Linked DNA regions of Arabidopsis thaliana. The protein of the gene in region 1 interacts with the protein of each later gene in a pairwise test. Each region holds a gene or a part of one and is shown on either strand. Other genes may lie near its edges. The genes, in order: MKS1 and AT2G22880.

Evidence for each region.
Region 2: the proteins of MKS1 (region 1) and AT2G22880 interact in a two-hybrid assay, tested with the Arabidopsis thaliana proteins (one study listed by BioGRID).

Annotation. Positions count from the first base shown.
Region 1 is NC_003074.8:6,428,969-6,432,786, forward strand, and holds MKS1 (MAP kinase substrate 1), read right to left. Parts: upstream 1,547-3,818; 5' UTR 1,456-1,546; coding exon 787-1,455; 3' UTR 566-786; downstream 1-565. Other genes in the region: AT3G18680 (Amino acid kinase family protein), read left to right, coding at 1-80, 164-552; AT3G18700 (uncharacterized protein), read right to left, coding at 2,754-2,929, 3,287-3,352, 3,444-3,531, 3,657-3,710, 3,797-3,818. UniProt on the Arabidopsis thaliana protein: Regulator of plant defense response. May contribute to MPK4-regulated defense activation by coupling the kinase to specific WRKY transcription factors.
Region 2 is NC_003071.7:9,740,615-9,743,796, reverse strand, and holds AT2G22880 (VQ motif-containing protein), read left to right. Parts: upstream 1-2,333; coding exon 2,334-2,678; downstream 2,679-3,182. Other genes in the region: AT2G22890 (Kua-ubiquitin conjugating enzyme hybrid localization domain-containing protein), read left to right, coding at 458-1,297; EMB2001 (P-loop containing nucleoside triphosphate hydrolases superfamily protein), read right to left, coding at 2,876-3,085, 3,173-3,182.

The DNA.
Region 1 (3,818 bases):
AAGGGTTGTAATATTTGCAGCTGGAACAGGCAATCCATTTTTCACCACCGATACTGCAGCGGCTCTTCGATGTGCTGAAAGTAAGTAAAGAGGTGGTTTCCGTTTAAGTTTTCTCCAATGATTATTCGCAACACTAAAAAAAAACTTTTCGCATTGGACACAGTTAATGCAGAAGTAGTGCTGAAAGCAACAAATGTTGATGGCGTGTTCGACGATGATCCTAAAAGAAACCCAAACGCTCGTCTGCTTGACTCACTAACTTACCAAGAGGTCACCTCAAAGGACCTCTCTGTAATGGATATGACTGCTATCACTTTGTGCCAAGAAAATAACATCCCAGGCTTGTTTTCTATAACACTCTCTCAAACCTTGACCACATGCATACATGATCATCTAAAATACAACAAGAATGCTTATTTAGTTCTGTGTCAATTTGCAGTTGTGGTATTCAATCTTTCGGAACCTGGGAACATCGCCAAAGCAATCAAAGGAGAGAGAGTTGGTACATTGATAGGAGGAACTTGGAACTCCATTGTTACAACAACCTCATGAAGAAGCCTATTCTCAAAACACAAAACTTATTAGAGTATCTTAGGTCAGGAGAATCTTGTAACTCCTGTATATATTAGTTTGCAGACAAGTTTTACATTCTAGGAATCTGTCTGAAATTTTTGAAAGTTAATCTTTTTATACATGAAGCTCATTTTAAACCCTTTGGGCTACTACATTGGATATGTCAAAATACATAATACAAAAAAATTACAGAGCAAAACACCAAAAAAAAATCTAATCTTGATCCCAAATATGACTAAAGAAATCAGCAAAAGTTGGTGAAGCTACCAAACTAGTAAAGCCAGGACTTCGAAACGGGCTCATAAATCCCGCCGGCGAGAATAATCCCAGTGGTATAGCCGGCGAAAACATCCCACCTTGATGATACATCGGAGAGAATATCCCGGTAGAAGCTGTTGGCAACAAGGCCGGAGATGGCGAGAGTATTCCCGGAGCATAACCACCAAATTCAGCTGCTTCTTCCATAGCCGTGTTGATTTCCACCGTCTCATCTCTCGCAGCCGGTTCTTTTCCTCCTCTTGGACTAGCATTTTCCGTGGACGCTAGCCTCGCCGCCGGTGAAACATCTCCACCGCCGCCAGATTCGAGGAAAACACCAGAGGAGATCCCTGTGAGTCGCTGGACTACGTTCATGAACTCAGACGCGGTTGCGTGTACAACCTTGGGGGATACGGCGTAGATAACCACCGGCTCTCTAGGAATATACGGCGGCGGTTGGTCACGATTTGGCGGCGGCGCAGGGTGTTTTGGAGGTTTCTTGATTTTGTGAGAGTCTTTGTGAACACTAAGAGGTGAAGGACGAGGACCACAGATCTGAAGCTGCCGCTTCTGGTTCTGTTGATCGGAAGGATTGCCGCCGGCAAAATACTCCGACGGATCCATACTTGGGAAGCTTCCTTTTTTAGAATCAAAACTTGTTGTTCTTCTGCTCTGTTTGGTTTGGGAATTGAATGTTTTGGCGACTGAGAAAATTGACCAAAACAACAAAAAAGAGAAAGAAATAAAAAGTCATCAGAACGATTAGTTTGACTTTAAAAAATGTTGACTTTTTGTGTCTCCAACCAAATTGTTACAGCACATGCTTAATTAGGAAACTTCCATTCTTGTCTTAATGTTAGATAATTAATTAGTAGGAAAGATCTTAGGAATCAACATTATCAACGGCACACAGTTATATATATTAGTAATGTTGTCAATCATTAACATACAATTATTAGTGATAGTTCTATTTAAGTTTTACAAGTTCTAGAAGTTGCAAATTATGGTAACAATCAATTTCTTTCTTTCTTAGTACCTAGCTAAGCTATTAACGTCTGCATGCATAGAAGTAACAAACCTAATTAAGACCTATCATATGAGTTGTTAAAAAAAACAAAAACATGTATATTGTATAGGGTGAGTTAAATATATATACTTAGAAGACTAAGTAATTAAGTATCTACCCATAGAAATCAGATATTTAGTTGTCTTTTGTCAGCAAAAAAAGAAGACGAAATTGAACCTATGACCAAATAAGATCTACATAAACATACTAGTCCTCGTTGAAACATAAATGATTTTATTAAGTTACCTGATAAAAGAAAAATAAACTGGCTTTGGTTAAAAACATTTCTACATAAAAATATTACTAGTCTAATAATTTTTCCATATATAGATAATGATAACAATGAACATATATTATGAGGATGGTTGCTAACAGGCTTTCATTTGTTTATCCAAAGCCCATATCAATTCTAGTTTGGTCCAAGAAAATAGCTGATCAAAGTTTGAAACTTTCGAGTGTAATAATATTTTCAAACAATTCGAATAAAATAAGAGTGTATTGAGAAAGTAGTTACTTTTTAAAACATAATTTTAAAAGTAGTCATTTTATTATTTATAATTGTAAAGTAATCATTTTTCGTATACTTACATATGTACAATACTTTTAGTATATATATATAAATATATATACTTTGTATATTGAATGTATTGTATAAATTTATGTGTACGAAAAATGACTACTTTGTATATTATAATAGTAAAGTGAATACTTTTATAAATTTATTTTGAAAAAGTGACTTATTTTCAACTTATTCCCTAAATTAATAACTATAGATATATTTTTTAAATTTTTATTTAGTTTAAAAACTACAAATTTAGGATTGTTTGAAAGCTACTAATTTAAAAAGATAAACTACTCATAGAAGATGACTCCAACATGGTCCTTTAGAAACCTCTCCAGTACTGTCGTTGAGTAGTGTGGGGGAATTGACAGACACTTGGTACTCGTGGTTCGGCGCCATATCGAGGTCCGAATTTGACGATGCCTTAGTATCAGGGAGGGCTGGCAACGACGGACATGGGTACTCCTCGCCTTGCTGAACCACATCCACCAAACACTACAGGTCGAAGGTAGACTCAATGGCTTTGTATTTACAATTTTGGTATGAAGAAAGCTAAGTTTTAAAAATTCTAACATATTCATAGTCATTGAGTTGTTTAGTGTTTTGCATAGTTTCTAGAGAATGTTTACTAGTGTCTGGTTATACATGCAAACGAAACAATTTCTATTGTCATGGTTCCAAAATAAAACAGAGCAAAACGTTGCATTTGAAACTACTAACAGTTATTATAGATGTAGATATGAACGTGACTATGAAAAGTTGGAACTTTTGTTTTCAAACTACCAAAATTTGGATATGAAACTAACAAACAAACAAAAAAAGTTCACCTTTCACTTCAAATTTGATGTTCTTAAACTTTAATCCGATTTCATTTTCCACAAGGACTGCCTTCTCTAAAAGATTAAGAAAAGGAAGTTGAAAAAGTTATTACAAAAACAACATAGAAAAAGTAGCATCTGAAAGTATTTAACAAAAAAATCTCACCTTTCATGTTAGTTTTGATGTTCTTAAACTTTAATCCAATTTGTTTTTTCACAAGGAATGCATTCTCTAAAAACTTCAAACCATTGTCCTGCTGAGGATTTCTCCTCGGCATGTGGATTTGACATTCAAGTTATAAAGCAGGTGTTTTAGAGATTCCTTGCAGAGATAAAAAATGGCGAGCGCGGTAAAGACTTCATTAAACATCTATCGGACGATTCTCTTCAAGATACAGAGGAGATTTTGAACTCCTTGGTATAGAAACATGAACTGCAAACAAAAAAACATAGAACTTTACTCGCAATTCAGAGGAATTTAGGGTTGTTGTATAGAGTTTATGTGGTAACTTTGGATACCTTGTAACTGTAGCGATCTGAG
Region 2 (3,182 bases), on another chromosome or scaffold:
TGTGGTTATGAAGAACTCTATATGCTTTTGGTGATTTGGTTCCTTTGATGGTGGTTGATATTTCCTTGATTATATACCCAATTCATATCTCTAAACCAAGTGAATATTTTATTTTTGTTTTAACGCATCTCCAAGTAAATGTTTTTTTATTCCTAAAGTTTTCTCTAAAGAAAAAATAAATATATATAGAAATCTGTATTAACGAGTAATTTTGGGTTTAATAATACTTTTTAATGTTAGGTTTTAGTTGGTAACTTCATAAATTAATCCAAATTTTTTGAGATTTTCTTTGAATGTTATTATCTCAATACTCTCTTACTTTCTTTGGTCAAAATTATCTCTTTTAAATGATTTTTTTATCCTGTCACAAAAAAAAACATATCCTTGTTTTATTTAGCTTTGGAAAAAAAAACAAGAAACTTGATATATCTTTTCAGACATCACATACTCTGCTTCAATGGCTACATCTCTTCAAACCAAATACACTCTAAATCCCATCACAAACAACATCCCAAGAAGCCACCGTCCATCGTTTCTCCGTGTCACTTCCACCACCAACTCTCAGCCTAACCATGAGATGAAGCTTGTTGTTGAGCAACGACTTGTGAATCCTCCTCTCTCCAACGACCCAACTCTACAATCTACATGGACTCACCGGTTATGGGTTGCAGCTGGCTGCACCACCGTGTTTGTCTCTTTTTCCAAATCAATCATTGGAGCATTTGGTTCTCATCTCTGGCTCGAACCATCTTTAGCCGGTTTCGCCGGGTATATCTTAGCAGATCTAGGTTCTGGTGTGTACCACTGGGCCACCGATAACTACGGTGATGAGTCTACGCCTCTAGTAGGAATCCATATCGAAGACTCTCAAGATCATCACAAGTGTCCATGGACAATCACCAAACGGCAATTTGCAAACAATCTACATTTTATGGCTCGAGGCACAACCTTGATAGTTCTCCCACTAGACCTTGCTTTTGATGACCATGTGGTTCATGGCTTTGTAAGCATGTTTGCATTTTGTGTATTGTTTTGTCAGTTGTTCCATGCTTGGGCTCATGGAACGAAGAGCAAGCTTCCACCTCTTGTGGTTGGGTTGCAAGACATTGGGCTTCTTGTTTCACGGATACATCACATGAATCATCACCGAGCACCGTATAACAACAATTACTGCGTAGTGAGTGGGGTGTGGAACAAGGTTTTGGATGAAAGCAATGTCTTTAAGGCAATGGAGATGGTGTTGTATATCCAACTTGGGGTGAGACCGAGGTCATGGACCGAGCCAAACTACGAATGACGGAAGAAACCGACATATCCAAATGTTAGCCGTCACTTTTAGCTATATTCTTCGCTTTAAGTGGGAAAAACTCGATTTTTTAGCCGCGGCTTCGAGATTAATTTATATTTAGTTTAAGATATAATATGTCAAAAACCAAATGTTTTCTTTTACTTAAAAACATGTAGATCACAATTGTGATAGATTTGATAAGTTTAATATATCATTTTTGGGTAAATGTAACAATTTCTAAAATGTTTGCATTGTATGGAAAGTGATATTCAAGGTTTGTAGATAGGATATCTTTCTCCGTTATACATATTTTTTTTTTCTATGCGGATAATTGAGTCTCATCACTTATCGAGATATCTCTTTACATTATTGCTTTTACTCTGACACTCGGAAGCAAAAGTTTTGTTTGCTTGTTATATTGTGTAGTTGTGGACCTAAACAGTTTTCAGGATCCTAACGGAAGGTAACTAATTAAGGCACAACCTTATTTCATACCACCCAACCAAAGTTCAAATGTTTAATTTATATCTAATAATTTCTTATGCGTTAATATATACTTAATCTTTTAAATAAAATTAAATTACATACCTAATTTATCAAATTATATGCAAAATTATATATTCTGCTGACGTTAGATACCACATATTTGATGATAATGATGACATGAATGCCATGTTACTAATGACACCGTTGCCATGTCATCTAGATTATTTTTTAACAAAAACTACGTTAATCCAAAAATGTACTCATTGCTTTTCACCTAACATTTAAATAAACAAGAAAATAAAAATAGTTAGCACACCCACGTTGACATTTCAATTCCATGAATCATCCCATCTCGTTCCCATTCATTTCACTTAAAAGTCAAAAACCAAGTAAGCCGCAAAAGAAGATCATAAAACCCAAAATGACTTACACGCTTCAAAACGTTGACATAATAATGCCGTCCACACACTTATAAATACTTATATGTGTACACACAAAGCCATCAAGGTAAGACACTTCGCTTCAAATCATTTGTGTATTACAGAAACTTCTGATCGTCATGGAAGCTACTTCACAACCATGTTTCTCTCATAACTCCTCACTTCATTCGACCCGTAAGCAACCGGCAAAGCCATGGAAAAAACCCGTAACGGGCTTGCCTCAGAGGATGCATCCTAAAGTTTACAGAGTCGAGCCTGTTAACTTCAAGGAGTTAGTTCAGAGGCTAACTGGTGCAGAAGACGTTGAGCAAGAGGTACATCAAGTTGAAGCTAAACCAGTCAAGATTTCTGATGATACAACAACAGCTAAGGATAATCCGTTCGCGTTTGATCTTTCACCTTCGTCATCTCGGTTCTGGGAAGCTTTCCCTCTGCTTAGTCCTGCTAATCTATCAAGATGGTAGCAAGAAAGAAGCTATTCTTGCCAATTTTTCGGCAATTCATGAATTTGTTTCATCAGAATTAGAACTGTAGTAGTAACACTTTATGATCTTATCTTTAAATACAAAAGTTACTGTTACATTACAAAACTACAATTTGATATAACCAATGATTCAAAACCGACCTTTTCGAACATTTGTTTACGAAATTTACGCGCTACCTATTGATCCCAGTAGTTTCTCAGCTGCGACATGTGAAGAAGAAGCTCGTCTCTGCCTAAACCAGATACACTACTCGTCAAAATCCAAGGAGGATGTACTTTAAAATTCTCTCTAATGATTTGTTGGAAAGCTTTAATGTTCTCATCAGGTCTTTTCCCTTTCGTTGCTTTCATTTTATCGCATTTCGTAAACACGAAAGTCATCGGTACCTGAAAAATCATCGAAAAACGTCATTTAACAAGTCCTCAAAGCAACATTTCACTGAACACACAAAAGCCAGAATTGGTACCACATACATTGTTGCGA